3 linked regions of the Drosophila melanogaster genome follow. The protein of the gene in region 3 purifies or fractionates together with the protein of the main gene of each other region. This does not show direct contact. Each region holds a gene or a part of one and is shown on either strand. Other genes may lie near its edges. The genes, in order: ken, Bap55 and Trl.

Region 1 (7,014 bases), on a different chromosome or scaffold from region 3:
GTTAGAAAAAGGATCGTGTAAAGAGATTGGAAAGTGCTTTCCATAACGGTTTAGTGCGACACATTACTGGAATTTCAGCATGTGATCGTGAGTGTGTGTGTGTGCTGGCATTAACAAACTTCCCATAAAGCAATAGTAAATGTTTACTAATCAGGTTTTTAGGTTTTTCTGTACTTGGTGTTTTTGTAATACTGCAACCCACAATCGTCATACATGTGTGTGTGTGTGTGTGTGCTTTGTTGGAAAAGATGAAAGCTTCACTTCATAGAGCTCCACCGTGTTGTTGTTTGTGGTAATGGTGTTGCCTCCAAAAAAGCTTTCCCGCTGTGATGTGCTGTTGTTGTTGTTGCTGTTTCTTTTATGCGATGAAATTGTTACACTGAAATTCGCTGGCCTGTGCAATTGTGTCGTTGTGCACAGGCAGAAAAATGTGGCATCATGCCATGCTATTATGTATAATAATAACATGCAGGTGAATGTGCCATTCAAATTTGGATGGATCATTTACATGTGGATGAAAATGGTAGGCTTAATACATCAAATTCAGCTTTTGTAAGGTTGAAGAGCTGTTAAGTAAACTACTTTCTAGCCAAAAAAAAAGATGCAAATAATAGAAGTCGTTTGAAAATAATGTAAAATGTGTAACATCGAGCTGCCCTTTCTTTCTGTGTAGTTGACTGTATCTGTGTAAGGTCTGTCGCGTTTGCGTGGAAGTGTAGTGCAGCGGGGCTTTTGTAAGTGTGTGCGTTTGCTGGGGGGCCACCATTATTGTATTGTGCAAGAGCATGGCTTGTAAGCTCTTTTCGGCTGCGCGAGTGTGAGTGAGTGTCTGCATGGCACCACGAAAAGTAATAAACCAAAAAGCGAAGCTAAAGTTCAGCAGCAGCAGCAGATCTCGAAAACGGAAAAAACGAAAAACTTCGGAAAGATAGTCTTGCTTTTTGTTACGCTCTGCTGCTTCTCCCCACCAATCCCCGCTCCAGCCCCCTGGCTCCACCACTCCTTTAGCATGGAGACGAACGAAACGTTCACTTTCAATAAAACTTGAATGACTGGCTTGGCGGAGAGCAAGAGAATGGAAATGGGAATGTTGTATTTGGCTTGGGAATGGCAAGCGAAAGCTGAGCATGGATCTTTTATTTTTCGCTTTTTGCACTGCCACTGAAGAGAGGGCGGGGGAGAGCAGGGGCAGGAAAGGGGGGATCTGGTGTGCTCATTCTAACGCTAGATAAATTCCAAAGCGGTATTGACGGAACATACATATGTATATATGCATGTATCTATGAGTGTGTGTGCTTGTATACTTAATGCTTCCACGAATCAGGGCCATTCACTTTCTACAAGTTTCTCGGCGGATTTCGCAATCGAATCTGAATTTGCTTACGAGCAGAGCATGACTAAAGATCGTTACAGCATTTAAGGCAATCAAAAGGTGAAAGTTCATGGTAATAATTCCTTAAATGGAAGACGCTAGGGATCCGTACGTATGTATGTGTTTGTGTATTTCCCAACATTTCTCCGCTCTCTTCGCGAGACTCACACATTCGCACGCACACTTTTGCAAACTGGAAATGAGAATGAAAGGGACAAGGCGGACATGGAGGAGGGTCGAGGGGAGGGCGATACGAAAACAAAACGCGCTAACTCACAATGCGCGCATAAAATCACCTTTCACAAAAAGCTTTTCTCCTCTCTATGCTGTGTATGTGTGTCTGTATGTCCAACGATCGGGGTATAAGCTAAACAACGAAACACACATAGCGACATACAGACGGAGAACGCAATCGTTTGTATATTTCCACACTTTCCGATTTTTGTCGTCGTCATCGTTCCCATGTAATGTAAATGTAGTTTTACAATTACTCTTTCCCCTGCGCATTGTGGTGTCGGTGTATGGGTTTGTTGGTGTGTGAGTGTGCAGATTGCGTGAGTGTTTACGAATGTAAAGCACATGTGTCTATTTCCAAGTGGAAGAGAATGGCAAGGGAACGGAAGCGGGAGCGGGGGGTGAAGAGGGAAGGGGGAACTGGAAATCGAAATGGAACTGGAATCGCACGGATCTTATCCGATCGAAGGCCTCAAAAGAGAAAGCTACGCGGGGTTTTGAAAGTATTATAAGCTCGCGCAAAGGTAAAATGTTAAAGGGAGCGGAGCGCGCGTTCAAACTCGTTTTCCTGCCCTCTCTGTCTCTGTCGCTCCATCGCATCGCATTCTCTTCCTTTCCCGCTCTCTCCCGCGCTGCCACTGCCCCTTTCCCCATTCCCCTTTCACGAAAGCTCTTTGACTTGCTGATCCGAAAAGAAGCGAGGGAAAATGGCAAAGAGTCGCCGTCGCCGTCGTTGTCTTCTTTCGTACTTGTTGTAAATGCTACACTCGTAAAAGTGACCCAAATTTGAATTGCATAACTCCATAAGCTGGGCGATACGGAGAAAGATAGGAAAGGGGCCCGTGAGGGGTTTGCAATGCGCTAGTTTCGTAGACGCCGTCAACGGATCTACGTTTTAAAATATGTATTTGCCAGATAAGGCGAACAGAACGGGGAAATCAAAGATCTCCTCACAATAGCCTTTCCAAGTTCCCCCACCCCCTCCCACGACCCGTTAAACTAAAATCCCCCTCACGCTGAGAAACCCACGCCCGTGGCTTTGCTAACAGCATATTTTGTAACATCTGCGCGATCGTGTAACCGCATGCATGTGTGTGTGTGATTGAGTGTCTGTGCTTTTTCACCTTCACTCTTATTGGAAAGCAGTTAAGTTGGTCGAGTGCGTGCGCCAATGTACGTACATATGTACGCAGATATGTGTCTTCAAATTCCATGACATGCATACGAGCGCACCAATACACGGACGGTATTACGCAGACAAAAGCACGCGATGAAGGTCACTAAGCCTTTCTTGTCTCCAGTTGTTGTTGTTCCTCTGGGTTCAGTTGTTGTTGCAGTGCTAATGATGTTCATGACGACGAAGATTGGATCGCCACGAACCGAAGCTTCGAGGCAAAGTTTTGGATACGATACCATACGATACGATGCGATGCGATCCAAACCGAGCTTGGAATGTTTTCAGTTTTCTGCTTTTCTGTTTTCTGTTTTCTCTACCACTATTAAGTTAGTTTCTGACCTTGGCTGCTTTGTGTGCTTAGGTGCACAAAGAGCCACAAGCCACACACACGTATCGCAGACCCAAAACCCCAACCCCGACTTTTATCTATCTCAGCGATGTTGCAATGCCCAAAGATGATGAAAATCTCGGGGAAAAGCTTGCTGCCGAACGGCAGACTTACCTCTTTCATTAAGTTGGATGTTCAGCAGTTGGTTAATCCCAGGATGAATATAGTCACTGCTATTCACTTGCGCACTTTCTGTTCTGATCGCCTAATCCCTGCGATCGGCCATTTACTGCTGGCTGCTTGCTTAGTGGAAACTTTCGATTTCATTGACCATGGTTTGTTTATATTTTCACAGGAGCAGATTTTAAAATTTCTCTTTGGCTTTTCCTGCTGCCTCTTCTGCTTTTTATGCGACGCAACGCAAGAAATATCCACCAACACACTGGTAACGCTCGCACAAGCACACACACACTCACTAAAGTTCACTACAACGGCACAACTACAACTACAACGTCAACATTAACTTTAACTAGGTTGAAGTTTTGTTTTTTCTTTTTGTTTTATTGCGAAATAAAAAACTTGATTGGTAAAACTTTTTCTGGCGCGAGCGCGACTGCGAGTGGGAGCGGTACGGAGAATCCGATCTCTTGCCTCTCTCTCGATTTTCGATTTCAGCTTCTGCTTTTGCTTTTGCCTTGCTTTGCTTCGCTCTGTTTGTGCTTACACTTTCAGTTTGCGCGCGCGCACGTCCGTTCACTCGGAGCCTTTTTTTTTGACTGTGCGGGATCGGGAAAGAAATTACGATCGCTGCGGCGCGCTGCTCGGTCGATGTATCGATACCGATATCGATAACAGAAAAGCATTCTCTAAGTCTCCTAAGCTACCTTGTAATTTATTATTTATGTTCCAATCATGATTTAGTTTAATATTAGCTAAAATGTAAAAAGACACAATCAATAAAAATACCATTTATATTATCGATAAAAACAGCAATAAGATCTGTATTGGCTTTTTAGATTTCCATTTGGCGTATCTTTCGTTATTTCACAAGATTAAGATTCACGTCCAACATGAAGAACTTAACTGTAACAAGCTTACGCTTTTGGGCTGACCTTATAGAGGCTCGCGATTTTGACGATTCAGACCCAACGTCGCGTAGACAAATGGCGCTGATGATCAAGAAGTTAGCGGAGAACATTTTAAAATCCGCGCCCACAGTACCAACACCACCATCCCCATCCAGCCCATCGCCGAACGAAAGCAATATTTGAGTGAAGCTCCATTGCCACTGACGTGTCCTGGTCCTGGTTCTGATGACTTCCTACTGGTGGCGTCACCTCCACAGCCCACCGACCAGCAACAACAACAATAACGGTTCCTTACAGTGATCCAGCGATCACGGAGATCATTTCACCTGTTAATATACTTTGTTCACCCACTGTAACTGTCTCTCGCGGAGGCGGAGCTTTGGACATTTCCCGACAAAATGTGAGCTTTCGATTATGTTCTACAACTGAAATAAAAAACTTGTTTAAACTTAAATAAAAAATATATAAATAAAAAGGGTAGAAAATCTCAATGCTCAATTTGCATCTGTACAAACGTAGACATTAATTTTACTGGCATGCTAAAGAAATTTCACCTTGATCCCCAATAAGCCGTCATCCTTCCATTATTTGCTTCCTTTGTAAGTCCTTTACGATCGCTCATTTGAAATGCACACGCCGCCTACATTTGCATCCTACCCTTTGCTATCCCATTATAGGAAACCATTAAATTCGTCCTTGAACCTAATTTGTGCCGTTAGCAATAAAAGCAATCAGTGAAACGAATTTGTATGCAAATCATTGAGAAACTAACAATGGTTCCAAAACGACCTGCATTTTATTCATAATCTATTTAAAGTTTAAATTTAGAAATTTGGATGTACATCTAATATGTAAGATTATACAGTACTGCAAGAGTGGCCTTTGGAAGTAATCCTTTCTTTCGCCCATTTGCATACAGCTAGTTGCCTGCTACAGTTATCACTTGCATTGCGGTTCAAGGACATGGTTAATGGTCTTCCATTGTGGGAAAGGGTATACAGACTGTAGGTGACGAATGAGAGCGCAGATGGACATCGTAAACAGCACGCTTAATAGGATAATCAAGATCAAGGTCATTGGAGAAATCTATTCCTTTATGGGACTCCCAGATTGCGTTGCATACATTTGAATGAAGGTGAATGGTGTAGGAATAGTAAACGATTCTCAGAAGCTAAAAAATTTAGAACTGTATATTCAAATATAACCAAGAAATATATCTAAAGTTGGAAATGAAGATCTACCGAATTTTACAAGCTGTCATGCTTTATGATCTACGAGTAAGATCCTCAGAAAGGGTATTTACAGTTCGAAAGCTTTTCATGCATCAGCTTTCGATAACCGATAGTTCGCCGCGATCCGGCGTTCATGTTCATCACTAGCCAAACAGCTGCAGTCGCAACAACGAGAAAAGCGAGAAAAGAAATCAGAAAACTTTCGCAAGATGAGCCTTCAAAATGTCTGCCGCAAGGGTAACGCCTTCAACCTGTTGAATGTCGCCAGGAAAGGTGAGTTAATAGTGCGGGTGTTGCAGTATGCCCCATTCCAAACACGGGCTGCACCAGTTGGACTTTGGCTCTGATAATTCATAACGATTTGTGGCAGCAGCAGCCGATTGAATCTGAAAGGGCCAAAGTCCAAACTCGAATTCGCAGTGACGTCTTGCGGGACAAAGATAATGTATGGGTACATCATGATTAAAAATAACGCGAAACGAGAGTGCTAAGGATAATCCCGAATCCGGAACCCTTTTTCAGTTCAATGCCGCGCTCTATCGGCCGCTGTGGCGAATCCACAACCGAAGCAGAAGAACAGCCAGAATATCGTGCTCGTGGATGGAGTCCGCACACCCTTTCTGACCTCCGGAACCACCTACTCCAAGCTGATGCCCCATGAACTGGCCAGGCACTCGCTTTTGTAGGTTTACAATCCCCAATATCCTTGGAGTATTAGCTTACCCCGCCCCATTCAACAGGTCATTGCTGCAAAAGAACCGCCTGGACAAGGAGCTCATCGACTACATCGTGTACGGCAGCGTCATCCAGGAGGTGAAGACCTCCAACATTGCCAGGGAGGCAGCCTTGGCAGCTGGATTCAGCAACAAGACACCTGCCCACACCGTCACCATGGCCTGCATCAGTTCCAATGCGGTAAGAGCCTCGCCCAAAGTTCCTCGGAGCTTGAATCTATAGCCCATGTATTACAGGCCATCACCACGGGCATGGGTCTGATAGCCACCAACACCTACGATGTCATCGTTGCCGGCGGCGTGGAGTTCATGTCCGATGTGCCCATTCGCCACTCCCGCAAGATGCGCTCCCTGCTCCTGAAAGCCAACAAGGCAAAGACCCTGGGCCAGCGGCTGGCCCTGCTGTCCACCTTCAGGCCAGACTTCCTGGCCCCCGAGCTGCCCGCCGTTGCGGAGTTCTCCTCCGGCGAGACCATGGGACACTCGGCCGATCGCTTGGCATCCGCCTTCAACGTATCCCGGAGCGAGCAGGACGAGTACGCCCTGCGATCCCACACACTGGCCAAGGAGGCCCAGGAGAAGGGCTACTTCACCGATCTGGTTCCCTTCAAGGTGTCCGGCGTGGACCAGATCGTGGACAAGGACAACGGCATCCGCGTGTCTAGTCCCGAGAGCCTGGCAAAGCTGAGGCCCGCCTTTGTGAAGCCCTACGGCACTGTGACAGCAGCCAACGCCTCCTTCCTCACGGACGGAGCTTCTGCTTGCATTATCATGACCGAGGAGAAGGCCAAGCAGCTGGGCCTCAAGCCCAAGGCCTATCTGCGCGACTTCCTGTTCGTGTCGCAGGAT
Region 2 (7,014 bases), on a different chromosome or scaffold from region 3:
TAAAGACACCAATCTGGACCCGCTTCCGGTCAAGGTGAGTTCGTAGTCCGTCCAAAAATTAAGCACCCCATTTTGTTCAATGCCAAACTATAAATAACCCACAGATTGGTATTATTGGCGGTTCGGGGCTTGACGACCCAGATATCCTGGAACAGCGGCAGGAACGTGTGGTGGAGACGCCCTACGGAGAACCGTCTGATGCATTGATTGAAGGCGAGATCAATGGAGTACAGTGCGTACTCCTGGCGCGTCATGGACGCAAGCACGACATCATGCCCTCCAATGTTAACTACCGGGCCAACATCTGGGCTCTACGCGATGTGGGCTGCACCCACTTAATTGTCTCCACGGCATGTGGATCGTTGCGCGAGGAAATCAAGCCGGGCAACCTGGTTGTTCCACACGACTTTATCGACAGGACTACTAAACGCCTTCAGACCTTCTACGATGGCAAGGCACAAAGTCCACGTGGTGTTTGCCACCTGCCCATGTTTCCGGCATTCAGCGAACGCACCCGCAACATTCTGCTTCAGGCGGCCAAGGAGCTGGAGATTCCCGCCCACGATAAGGCCACCATTGTGACTATTGAGGGTCCGCGCTTCTCCTCTCGCTCGGAGAGCCACATGTTCCGTCAGTGGGGCGGGGACCTCATAAACATGACCACGTGTCCAGAAGTGGTGCTAGCCAAGGAGGCTGGCCTACTTTACGGGTCGGTGGCCATTGCCACGGACTACGACTGCTGGCGCATGGGTTGCGAGGGTGTCAACGTGCAGGATGTCCTCCGTACTTTTGCCGAGAACGTAATTAAGGTGAAGAAGATTCTGGTCAACGCTGTTGGTCGAATTGCCAAGGAGGACTGGTCGGAGGACATACTAAATGCCAAGGTGAGTGAGCCGAGATAAACATCATTTAAAACTAAGTTCATCATGTGTTCCGCCCATAGCAATGCGTTTGCAACAACACAATGTCTGGAGCCATGTGACGATTTATAAAACTTTGCCACGAAATAACAGAAGAGACGCTGATTCGCCGCAAGATTTATGTGCCACCGCTCTATCAACAGTTCCACAAAAAGCGAGGACCCAGAGTTCACTCCATATCCATTACGTACGAATTAGATCCGAAAGACAAAAGGCAGCCGGTGAAAACTCCATTGAAATGTGAAACTGTAACGTCCGCGTCAGCGTCGCAGTAAATATATACATATGTGTGTAACTAAAAACATTTCCGTAATCAAATGCAATCTATTCCTAAACAAACGCTCAGATGTCTTCTGAATAATGGGACACTTTTCACATTTCACATTTATATTATTACATAGAGTTGCGTCTTTAAAATTAAAATTGGAATTCGATTGCGCTGTCCTTACGGACACTTCCGCTCGACTTGGCTCTTGCCGGCCTCTTCGTACTCCTGCGACGATATCCACATCTGTTGGAAAGTACCTATGCTGGCTAGAATAGAGCCGCCAATCCAGGCTCCAAATCTTCGCTCCACGCTGCCATTGGCAGAAATCATTTTTAGGCGCGTATTTGAGGGGGCACGCAGCTGGAGATCGCGATTTAGGCGCTCCGGAAAGCCTTGCAGAAGGGTATTGCCACCTAAGAGCAAAATATTAAGGTATAAGTAATTAGTTTTAAAACCTAGGGAAAATTCATACCAGTAACGACAACTGAGCCGAAAAGTGACAGCCGCACATCCGCATCACACATGCCCACACTGGTGGACGCCAATTGGCCAGCTCCCAGCATTGCATTGTCAAAGAGACTCTCGGCTATCTTGAACCGCTCAGAGCCAAAGTCCTGATGATAACCATTAGGAAACTCATAGTGTACCGTCGGGATTTGAGCAGCAACCCGTTCGTCGAACGGATTTTCTAGGACCTGCAGCACATTCATCTGAAAGTCTTGCATCATGAGCTGCAACATGTAGTTTTGCCACGACTGAGTTAGGTTCTCTGGCAGTTTGCGCAGCGTGAAGCGTCCGTTGTCGCGCTCCTTAACAACGTCTTTGGAGGCAATCTTGTATACCGGCGACAGATCAATGCCGTGCTTCTCCAGATGCTGGCGGCACTGTCGTGAAAGGAAGTCTCCACCCAGGGGTGACTTAACCACCGCCTGGGATAGGACATAGCCCTCATGGACGGGAACGGCCGAGGTGTGGGTGGCTCCACTATCGACAACCAAAGCGGTGGCCCGCCCGCTGGAGAAGGCAGCCAGAACGGCGTTCTTTACCAGAAAGAAGGCTGGAACATTGTACTTCTCGAACATAAGCTCGGTTAGCTTCTCGCGGTTGTTGCGGACATTCCACGATGCCTCGGAAAAGAGCACGGGATGGTATTCCGGCTCCGACTGAATGACATTGGCGTAGGCATAATCAATAACCTTCTCAAACAGGTCCCAGTTGTCAATCATGCCGTCTTTCATATAGGTCTGCACCTCCATATTGGAACGGGGAACGGTCACGTAGTTGGTGTCCACATAGAACTTGCGCTGGTCAGCATCTAGAGTAGGGGTAGGGATTGCCGGTTTTTCCGGGTTTTTAAAAGCCATAAACTAAATAAAGGCGATGTAGAAACTAACTATTTGGCGTGGCATTGTTGTCTGTTTTAGTTTCCGGATCGAGATTGGTCTCTGGAGCTGCTCCAATCCCCACAACCGAGGGTATCTCCGCCTTGGGCGAATCCTCCTGTGCGTAGCCCACTCGCAAGGAATGATGTCCAGGATCGAAGACCAGGGCGCCGATCTCGTCGCCGCCATATAGCATGGTGCCGCCACTCATATTGGGGCGTTCCGATTATTTTTTTCGCACGTTGTGTTCAAGTAATTCGCGAAAATACTTCCGTCTGTGTATATTTTGCGGCTTTTTTCACGACGCTTCTTCCTCGCTGGAGATGGTCTGATAAGTTATCGATTGTTTAAGCCAAATATTTTCCTACCTATCGCTTTGGTCGCTTACCTATCGATTGCTGTTCTCAAACAATTTCCATCGCTATTAGTTAGCAAACACAAATTAAAACTCGGATTCTAAAAACATAGATTTTATTAAAGAAATTACCGTTAAGTGGTATATTAAAACATACGGATGAATTAGTACACAAATGTGTTGTAGAACGTTGGAGAAACACAGTGCGAAAAATATTAAAATGAGTACCGACAGCGCCGAGGAAACGGTGATCCATTCCACTGTTCCCCATTTGGAGATTAACATATCAAACACCAACATCAGCGGCCAGATTGTTTTAAACGACTTGCTGCTCATGGAGATGCTCGCCCGGTATCCCTTCCTTATCATCCCGCAGGTGGAGCCCAAAATGGACGTTGACTACGACTCCTGGGGTTGGGATCAGCTGGCCAAGTCCTTTAACCAAAGCTACGAGCACGTTGAGCTGAGTACTCCGTTCTCCGTAAGTGAACTGAAGCTGCGTTGGGTGAAGCTGCGCCCGCTGGTCAGAGCCTTGGCCGGTTCCAAAGGGCAAATCCCTGAACCTCTGTGGCGGGTGATGCACGATGTGCACATTCGCATGCAAGCCCCGAATCCGGCGGATGTGCCGAAAACCAAGTGTCAGGAGTTTCTTCTCAGTCAGTTGCCTTTCGTGAAATCTATGGCGCAAGCGGAACGCCGGCATTTAGAAGTGGAGGTCCTCGCCCTCATCCTGGAGCAAGAGCGCCAAGAGAAAGCTACTCGAAAGCTGGGTCCTAAGGACCTGGAGACGGTTCAGAGCGAATACGACGAATTTCTTAAAGCGATACGGGTGAAAGAGCTCCCAGCAGACAATTTACTCAGTCCGGCCATGGACAGATTCGGCATTAGCCCACACAAAATAAGACCCAATGTCGCAAGTGCCAATAAAAGAATCAGATATAATAATGCTTGCAAAGGATCAAATGATGTCAAAATCAAAATAGAAACAGCTATTGAACCTAAAATTAAAGATACAACAAAATGTGACGAACGACCGATAGAAACACCACGCTTCGTTCCTCTTAAAAGCGCGAAATACTACATTAAAAGGTGTCGCATCCGGCTGAAGCGAGTGGAAATTGATGATTATTTACCCTTAGCTAGAATACGGCGCTCAAGGCGGCCTACGCTGAGAACATGACTTTCTTTCGTATAAAATGCACATAAGTTTATTAAAAAATACATTACTATAAATTACAACTTAAAACTATTGTATAATCCAAATAGCATTTTATATTTCACTTGCTTTGCATTCTCGAAGAACTAATAACTAAACAAACAAGGAGCGGGAGAACCTAGAGAACAGGAGAGCGGTTTAGCCGGGGCAGAAGGACGACAGGATTTTGTTTGCTCGTTGCCTACGATCGCCTGGTTCTTTCGATGCTTATCGGTAATCAGTAATCCGTTACACTACACAATCGTCAACAGATACTAAAGAACGCAATTTAACAGGTCTATAAATACAGTCGTTGGTTGAAAGCGTAGCACTTAACAAGAAACAAACAATGTTGATGAAATCTAACAAACGGTCATAGCTGCTAATCCTTTCTCAAAACAGTTGGTCCGCCAGGTTCCCAATGAACGTGGCCAGGTTCATGGATGAGCCCTCCTTGAATTTCAGTCCAATCGTCTTGCCGTAGGCTTGTATAAAAATGGCGCGCACTGCATTCAGGCGTTGCTTTCGTCTCCAATTGTAAAACAAAATTATGTCATTATGTATTTGCTGTCGAATAATCAGACTACAACTTACAAGTTGATGCATTGCTTGCTGGCCATAGTGCTGCCGCCTACGTCTTTGGAGGAACCGTTTGCGAAACCGTGCGTCGAGCTGCCGTTACTGATACTGCTACCACTTCCGCTCCCACTGCCACTCGATGCTGCATTGATGCTGCAGTGGTAACCATTGCCGCCATTGCATAAAGGAATGTTTGAGGAGCCGCCACCATCGGCTGCCTGTTGCGCCACAAAGCGCATCATGTAGCTGCCGTTCATCATGGAGTCAATTGAACCCGTGTCGGTAACCACCTGCCAGCTACCATTGGACGATGTAGACTCCTGTCTTTGCCGCGCATTTGATCCGGGCACTGAAATGGGGCTGGTTCTAGATCTAAAACAAGTTGAGTTCACAGTTAGTCAGGTTTCTAATTTTAGTATTCAGCTGTTCAACCTCTTCGGATTTGGCGACCTGCTGGTCAACGGATTGACTTGCGCCGGCGTCGTGGCATAGAAGTTATCTGTTATGGACATATCACAGTTGGAACAGTTTGAGTAGCTGTCGTTGCTATCTTGATCGAACGAAAGGATGTAGTCTCTGCAATTCAAAGTAAATGGACTGATAATGGTACTGTTCATTTACAATACTTGGCTATAATTCTAGTGTCTTTGGCTATACTCACTCCTTGAGCGGTTCATCGTCGCAGCAATCGGATTTGATTACTATTACACTACTGCCGCTGCTGCTGGATGTCTTGGTGCGCTTGCGGTGCTCCACAATGCTGAACTCCTCGTCCGTGATAAACTTCAGCACGTGGAAGCAGAAGAACATGATGTCTTCGCCTCGTTTCAGGCGATCGGGAAGTTGATGGCCAAACAGGTACCAGTCGTAGGCCAGTGTGAAATAGGCCATTTGCATGGCGTTCAGCGACTGATGGATGAGTCCATCTGCCCACAGAGACAGCCTGACCAAGGAGACAAACAGTGGCGTGCGATCCCAACCGCTGATGCAGTGAATCAGCAGGCCGGAGTTTTCCTCTTGCACGTATTTCAGTGTAGCTCTCAAATAGTTTTGGGTGATTGCCACCAGATCCCAATCCCGGTACTCCGACCACGCCACATCGATATCCGCAGCGGGTCCCATGTTGGGAATGTTGATATTCGCATCGTTGAACGTTTGCTTCCAGTTGTAGTGCAGGTTGCGAGCCATGTAATTATTGTCCCGGAACTTTTTGAAGAACTCACAGCCCGGATACGGCAGGGATAGAAGGTTAAAGCTCTTATAGTGCTTGTTGGGATCCGCTTTCTCTGACGAGGAAACGCTAAAAGAACAAAAAAAACAGGTGGTCAGTTTTTGTTTTGTACTCGGTATCTTAAAGTGTACTCACGCCATGAAGTATTTGATTTTGCGGTTTTCGACCATGAGGTCCACAATGGTTGAGACATTGAGCGTATGCAGCAGCTGGATGTCACTCTTGATGACTTCGTCGTAGCTGAACTGCGACTGCGCCTGGTCGTGCATGTGGGTGATCAGCGACTCGTCCGTGGAGTCAGCATCGTTCTCTTCTCCGTTTGGCGCGGTGTAATTGCCGCCACTCAGGCAGTCGTAGGCATAGTCCACCACTTTTCGGCCGTAGGTTTCTGGCATGACGGATAGCGTGGCAGAGCGGCATATGTACTTTCCGCGATACATAATCACAGGCACGGCGAATCTTTGACGGCATCTCGCATATTTGGCCATCGTTACCAATTCCCGCATTCGCTGGATATCATACTGATCCTCGTATATCGTATTTTGTGGTTGCTGTTGCGATGGCTGCTGCTGCTGCTGCTGGAGTGGATGTGGCTGCTGGGAGGGATATTGCGCGTGGAGGGGATGCATCTGCTGCGAGGGATATTGTTGCTGGAGCGGATGCTGTTGTTGCGTCTGCAGGGGATTGGCAAAGGTCACAAAGGCTTGGATGCCCACACCCTCACTTCCGGTGCTTCCTGCACTGCTGTTCAGAGGCGTGGCAGTGGCGGTTGTTCCCGAGGAGCCTCCACCTCCCACTCCCCCACCAACTTGCCCGAAGAGTCCATTTCCCGGTACCAGCGTCTTGGCCATGTGCCCGTGCTCATATTCCGGGATGAGTATTCGGCCAGGATATCGCGGACTGAGCAATCCGTTCGTATTATCCAGCTCAATTAGGCTGTAGTCGAGCTTAAACAGGTATTCGCATTTTTTGGAGATGTCGTACTCCTAAAAGGAAAGGAAAAAGATCAGGATACCATGAATAGGGAGTTAATATAATACATATATGCTAAAAGTAGATGTAATAGGTAAGGATTATGTGGTAA
Region 3 (7,014 bases):
GTCCTAATCAATCCAGTAAGATATCCATTTCTATAGGGTTTCTCCCAGCTTTGGATTTGTAAACAATGCTAAAATACATTTTTACTATTTCTTACTTTTTAGCTCTGCCCGTGGAGCTCAGTAAATTTGAAACCCAATTGCTTTTGGATGAGAATATAGCAAAGTTAGTTGATAAATCCAAAGATCTAAAGGCTAAACCCACTGCCGAGAAACTTGAGGAGTGCAAGGCGGATTTTGAATCCCGGTTACTGGGACAGGAGGAAGCATTGAAAACGGAGAAACTACGGGAAACTGAACGATACATGGATAAGATTCTGACGGGAAAACGCAAGAAGTTGCTCAAGCAGGGCAAAAATGAATTGGGTAAAAGAATATTACTAGAAAATAAATATCATATATGTATGTCTAATATTTGGTATAAATAATATGTCTAGTAGGCTGTGGGATTTCATCTACATAAATGCAAAATTACGTTTCTCCTGGCCTAAACTTCAAATTTTAAACTGAGCTGTCAGCGTACTTAAATCTAATTTTATAAAATGTGCATGAAAAAAGAATTATCAGATAACTTCACTTTTAGCTGCCGCTCTGACTGATAAGGATGTACTATTGGAGATGTCTGTGAATTTCAAATTCGATCGCCAAAATGCCTTGCTGGAGGTGCATTGTGAACATCCCACGGATCACTGTAGATACATTAAAACCAATATCTCTCGATAAGTAATCTTAATTCAATTCTACAACCAACAGCTGCGCAAATAGTTACCGGTCCCATTGTGCACACCAATTCCCTGAAATACCGCGTTTTCAAAGATCTGTGGAGGCGCGGAAAGTACGTGACTTCCGGCGATGCATTTGGAGCGGACTTTCTGGTTTACCCCGGCGATCCCATGATCTACCACGCCTCCCACATTGTAATTTTGCACGAGCAACCTGTAATTAAGCCCCTGGAACTGATAGCAAAAGTTCGTCTATCGGTAATTGTCAACAAAAGCTGCGTTTTCGCCTACGAGATGGAAAATAATGAGGAAGAAATACATTACCAAACGGTCGCATGGTGCAATCTTGGAAAATGAGGAAATCACAGGCAAGTACATGGAGCAAAAAACATGAAATGTGACCATAAAATTCTGACAAAAATAGTCTATTATGTTATCCATTTAATTATTATTCTAAAGTTGGGTTCTAACGTTAGAAAGTCTAATGGGTAGAGATTAACACTTTAGTCACCAACTTTTATTTGTTCTGAACATCTGTGACGCATTGATACGATTTTGGGCTCAAGGGAGGACATCTAATTTCGACCAGTGTATTTTTTTTTTTGGCTCCAAAGAATCTTATTTTTTTAAGACTGAGCGGGAGAGAGTGGGCTTTCCGTGAGCACGGGTTTTGTTTTTGGCGCCGAATTGGGTTTATTTTTTAGTGGAAATTGAATACAATGCCGGAGAAACTACGCTCCCGCTCCGTCCCATTTCCCCACCGCTCCTCCCCTCTCTGGCGGCCTCTCCACGTTTCGCCGTCCCGCTCTGAGCGGCAGGAGCAGCGCCAGAAACGGTTTCTCCCACTCACAGTTGGAAATTGTACACAGTGCACATGGTAAATCGGTTTATTATGACCACGACATCCAACTCGAGATGTTTGCTCGCCACTCCGTTCAGGGTCCATTGTTGTGGTTTTTAGGCGGGAGTCATTCGTCGCTTCCCATTAAATTTTGTTAAATGAATTAGTTATACAAAATGAGGTTATAATTCGATGGCCCCCATCAAACGCCAGAGCACACATACATACATATGTATGTACATACATCTATAGGCAAGCGGCGATAGGCAAATAAGTCGCATACATTTGCGTATTTGTTTTCAACAAATTTGTGCTGAATTCTTCATGTTTTGCGTTCGTTTCAAGTATATTCAGTTTTTTTTAATAGAAACAACGTGATAAGGCGCGGTGGGGAAGGCCAGGCAAAAGTCGTGCCGCGCCGTTCGAATTTCAAACAGTCGAGCTGGCGCACGGTGGGACAAAAGCGTTGTTTAAAAGTTTTAATGTTTTAAAGTTTCATACATTTTAATAAAATACAAAAATTTAATTTGAAAATCTTTAACTAACGTACGGCCAAACGCACTATAAAAACTAGCCAATGGAAAAAATAGTCCAGTAACGCTTATACAATTTGTTTACAAAAACCAGTTATACAATGTATTCCAAAATTTTACATAGTAATTCTATTCCTACCACTTATGTTTTGTATCCCACTGTGCTTGGTTTGCACTCATTCCTCCACCTCTGCCGAGTCACCCACCACCAACACCCCCCAGCGCGCACGCTCTCCCTCATTCTCACATCATGCTCCGTTGGTTGGTATTGCCAGCTACGAAACATGAAACATGCTCACTGCTTTAACGCCGATTGGAACTTTAAAGGGGCATTTCGAACGGCATTTCTCATGGCCCCTTCCCTGCCCAGCAGCATCATAACAGAGAAAATTGTAATCTTAAAAATTTGGACACTCGCTCACTTTATATTACTTTCTTCTCTGAGCGTTGGCTAGAAGTGCCACTCTCCTTCTCCTTCAATTCCAAATTCGACTAACTTCCCTATCGCGGGGTCTCTCCGCTCTTAAGCTGGACTTGATCTGCATACGAGAATGAGACTGGCTATATGTTTTTACCCCGTAGGGTCTCGGTCTCTGAGATGTGTCAAAAGTAACAGGTGATTGGATTGGATTCGAAAGGAGAGAGGAGAGTTAGAGACAGGGGAAAGAGAATGTAGAGCGTAAGAGCGAACCGGCTTTTCTACCATTTGTTATTATTACTTTCACAGGATCTGTTAATATTTCGGAACCGAAGAGAAACCCAGTCCCGATACATGTCTATTTTAATCTAAACCTATCAGATTCTTTTGATTCCTGTGTAACCCTCAGTAGCATTACACTTGTTCCCAGAAAAATGGAATCTGGTATCTTAAAAAGAAAACTGAAAGTAATTTATTCTGAACCCAATACCCTTCTAGATTTTGGTGATCAAACATAATAAATTGTTAGATTAGGGACTCGTTCTACGAAAATCTGCTTATCGATTTAATCATAGCTAATGTTGGAATTTATTTTTAATACAATTGCTCGATACCTTAGCTAGAATAATTCAAAAACGTTCTGAATTGTTTATCCTTCATTTTTAAACTGTAAAATTTGAGCTTATTCAGAGTGGAGTAGTATAAGAAAATGTTGAATATTTTGATACCGGATCCGATAGTTATAGAACCGGAACCTACGGATCCCGTTGACCTTTTTCTTATCGCACTCTGATATTCCAACCGGTCGGACACATGTGTTTTTCATCCGTGAAGTCGGCCCAGAATATTTCCATCATTCAATATTTACCACCTTTTATAGTTTTGTTTACTATCTTGCCGACTTTTTTGTCTTGCCGTCTTGCTCTCCTCTCCATCCTAAAAATACTCTTCCTGCGCTCCATCTGGCAATGCCGCTCGACAACTGTACTTCAAAGAGCGTTGCCAGGCAGGTCACTTCTCTCATAGATACACAGATACAGGCGCGCACGCACACCAGCACGCAAAATAACCACCACCAGCAGTACAGAAATTACACATTTTCTCCCCGAGTAGAGAACTGAAAAACTGGCCGCGCTGGCAGCGCCGGAGCAGCGAAATTCGATCGAAACCATTTACTCAGTCTCAGTTCGAGTTATCCAACGTTGGCGAGCGGACAAACAAGCAGGAGAAAAAAGCGTACGGGCAAGAGAAAGAGAAGGCACAAAATCACCCACAGCCACTGAAATTTTCTTTTGCGCTCCGGTGAGAAGATAATTTCACAAACCAAAACCGAACCAACAAACAAAAAAAGTGCGCTCCGTGAGCGGGAAAACAATAACAAAATCAAGAGACATGCGATTATAAAACGAACAAAATAACTGAGTGACAAAAAAAAATTAAATGCGTGTCTCATGGCTTGACTGTACTGTGTATTAAAAAATGTGATTGTGTCGGCTGTCCGTCTGTCTGAGTTTGTGCGCGTGTGTGTGCTGTTGGCGTTTTTAAATGTGGCGCGCTATTTTTGTGTGATTTTTGTGGGCAGCAACGAATTTTGAAACATCAATTGTATACTAGTTGTCAGTCCCCTTGTGAAAAAGTCTTCTCCAACAACAAAATTCCTGTGAGCAGCCTACACACATGCGTTGTCTCGCTCTCGCGCGCTCTGGCCCCCAAAGAGTGCGAGAGCGGGAGAGTGAGACCGAGAAAGAGAGAGAGAGAGAGAGAGCTAATAACTAACGTCTGTACTCTTTTTCTTTTCCATTTTTCATTTCAGTTTCGAGAAAGCAGCGCGCCAAGCAGCAAGAAGAGGAAGAGCAAAGGGAGTTGGAAAAGCAGTGGCGTCGTGGAGGAGGAGTAGAAAGGGGATTTTTGCGAAAAATCCCAACTTGAAGAGAATTTTCCCCGTAACCGTTAAACATTAAATCGTCGTGTTGGAGACAAATAGCAGCGAATACGCTAGCAACGCTGGGGAGGAACAACAATTGTTGGATTTGGACGCGACCGCTTTGATGTCGCTGCCAATGAATTCGCTGTATTCGCTCACCTGGGGCGATTACGGCACCAGCCTCGTATCGGCAATCCAATTGTTGCGCTGCCATGGCGACCTCGTCGATTGCACGTTGGCCGCCGGCGGGCGGAGTTTTCCCGCCCACAAGATAGTCCTGTGCGCCGCCTCCCCCTTTCTGCTGGACTTGCTAAAGGTAAGTGCTCGGTTCGGAAACACTGCCTAAAACACCTTTCAATAAGAGAGCTTGTACATAACCTCAAACGTTTCGTACAGTTTGTAAACAGAGAAATCCAATCGCAGAAATAGGTTAATGTTTGGAGCGCAGAGAAACTGACACTCGCACGCAAATGCATACATATGTATAAATAACGCAGATTTACGCTCCGCTCCAAAAGTTGTCTAGAGATTTTTGTACAAGTTTTCCACTGTCAATTGAGTTGAATGAGTGGCTCCGCCCCCCGCATTCCCGCCGTCTATCTTGCTTATCAGCTTTTTCTTGTTGCAAAGTTCACCGGAGAACGAGAGAGTGAGACGTAGAGACAGAGCGCAGACAGAGAGGGAGAGAGCGAGAGAACCAGTTGGTTCGGTCGACAGAAAAGTGGTTTTGGGCCCGGTGGTGTAACAGAGAGGGGAGAGCCGAAAGCTGGTGCGCCAACTTTTAAATCGCATGTGTTAGAGCGAGCGCAAACGAGAGCGCCAAAAGCAGCGCGGCAACTGTTGTAGTTGTTGGATGGTTGGAGCTTTCGTCTTGCCTTTTGGTTCTTGCTGTTGTTGGGTGCACACGAGCGCGACCTCTTTCTTCACAGACAGAACTGTACAGTTGGCTCTGGCTAGGGGGAACTTGAAATATTGGGGGGAATATGGATACATATACAAAGATAATTAAAATTAAATTTGTATTGATTGGTTTGATTTCCTTAACCCATTTCCTAAGCTAAGTCTTTTGTATTTTGTATGTCACCATTTTAGATTGCTAGATTGATTGTCTAACAGCAAACTTCGCTCAATTAAAAGTTCCTGGACTTTAATAGACTTATCTACTTCAAATCTTTATTTAAACTTATAACATAGTGACCAAGTCCAGATTGTACCAAAGATAAGCAAGCCTGTCTGGTGCGCTTCCCTCGTATCGAATCCAACCCGTATTTCTATAAACTAAAGCATTTCATATTAGGAAGGCGCACTTTTAAATGGAGCTTGCAAGTTTTTTCATGAGCTGTATTGCGATACTGTACTTTTTAACAACTCATTTGCACTTTAACTTTGACGCTTTTCCGCCACTCTGTCGATTGTTCAAAGTGTGCGCTTAAGTATGAAAGTTGGACCGTCTTCAATGCGTGGCCCTATCGTAATGGAAATACTGACCAAAACAGAGCGCGGCCAGCGAAATGAAAACACCTGATGCGACGCCGACAGCGGCTACTCTGCGCTTCGCTCCCCCTTATTCTCAGCGCTCCTCATCTCTCCTCTCCTTTTCTGGGCCGTGAAAAAGTAAACAGAGCGAAATTTTTGAAAACGCCGCTCAGAGCCGTCGTGGGGAAATGTCAAAGAAAAAAAAAAAAAAACAAAAAGAACGGGACCAATGCGGCTGTGAACTCTGCAAGAGTCCGAAAAGTACAAGATGTACTGATCTCGTTACACTCACACACGCACGCAAAAACACATGGCGGTCGCTCTTTGTTGCTCTTGCTCCCTCTCCCTTGCTCCTACGGCAAATGGAATGCAACTCTGAAAAATCGATGAGCGAGACTTTGGTTGGAGGCAGAGTTCAAAGAGCGCAAATGGGAGTGCGGTGAGATGTGTCATTTCAAGAGATTGGCATTGGATGAAGGGAGGGTGTTGGTTGGTGAGTCCGTAAATGGAGAGGGGTTGTTTTCTGAGCAATGCTATATAATTAAATGTTTGGAGCGGGAGCGGGAGCGGGAGAGGACACAGAAGAAGAACAGCTAAGCGCTCTTTCTTTAAGCGCTGCTCTGTTTTCTTTTTCAGCATCTGAAATCTCAAAATCCTGCTGCAGAATGTGCAGAGCGCGCAAAAGTAAAAGCCGGTTGTCTTTTGTCTGTGTCACTGTGTGCGTGAGCGGAGGAGAGTGTGAGCGACGCGTCGCACCGCGAGTTTCCATTATTTCCATCTCCGTCCGACTGTTTTTGTTATTGTTTTTATTTGGATTGGCGGACGGACGAACGGGCCTCTCAATTCACGCCAAAAATGTGAGACGATTTCAAAACAAACACAACTCTCTACGATGAAGTTCGAGCCAAGAGAAATGTTGGATGAAGAGCCTACGAACTTTGCAAAGTGTCAAGAAGTTTTTCTTATAGAACATTTTTAGATTTCAATTAGAAAATTTCTATAACTTACTAGAAACCGGTTTTGGTTATCGTACATACCTTAAACAATAGAGAAATATTTATATATCATTTAAAATCAATTTATCTTGCCCTATTCTTAATAAC

Evidence for each region.
Region 1: the proteins of Trl (region 3) and ken purify together in Drosophila melanogaster (affinity purification with western blotting, with the first as the bait; one study listed by BioGRID). This does not show direct contact.
Region 2: the proteins of Trl (region 3) and Bap55 purify together in Drosophila melanogaster (affinity purification with mass spectrometry; 2 studies listed by BioGRID, with this or other methods). This does not show direct contact.

What each region holds. Positions count from the first base shown.
Region 1 is NT_033778.4:23,867,152-23,874,165, reverse strand, and holds the start of ken (ken and barbie), read right to left. Parts: upstream 3,894-7,014; 5' UTR 3,295-3,893; coding exon 3,286-3,294; intron 1-3,285. Other genes in the region: Mtpbeta (mitochondrial trifunctional protein beta subunit), read left to right, coding at 5,641-5,704, 5,954-6,113, 6,172-6,346, 6,403-7,014. UniProt on the Drosophila melanogaster protein: Transcription factor required for terminalia development. Negative regulator of the JAK/STAT pathway: represses JAK/STAT-dependent expression of ventral veins lacking (vvl) in the posterior spiracles.
Region 2 is NT_033778.4:17,428,060-17,435,073, forward strand, and holds Bap55 (brahma associated protein 55kD), read right to left. Parts: upstream 2,905-7,014; 5' UTR 2,782-2,904; coding exon 2,583-2,781; intron 2,504-2,582; coding exon 1,661-2,503; intron 1,602-1,660; coding exon 1,366-1,601; 3' UTR 1,294-1,365; downstream 1-1,293. Other genes in the region: Mtap (methylthioadenosine phosphorylase), read left to right, coding at 1-34, 105-884, 944-982; Lhr (lethal hybrid rescue), read left to right, coding at 3,101-4,105; EDTP (Egg-derived tyrosine phosphatase), read right to left, coding at 4,514-4,649, 4,715-5,071, 5,132-5,296, 5,361-5,999, 6,066-6,916.
Region 3 is NT_037436.4:14,754,641-14,761,654, reverse strand, and holds the start of Trl (Trithorax-like), read left to right. Parts: upstream 1-3,692; 5' UTR 3,693-3,813; exon of another isoform or gene 3,814-4,171; intron 4,172-4,318; exon of another isoform or gene 4,319-4,324; 5' UTR 4,325-4,559; coding exon 4,560-4,751; intron 4,752-7,014. Other genes in the region: Tsen34 (tRNA splicing endonuclease subunit 34), read left to right, coding at 1-15, 103-363, 581-688, 751-1,076. UniProt on the Drosophila melanogaster protein: Transcriptional activator that functions by regulating chromatin structure. Overcomes the repressive effects of chromatin by promoting the open chromatin conformation in promoter gene regions, thereby allowing access to other transcription factors.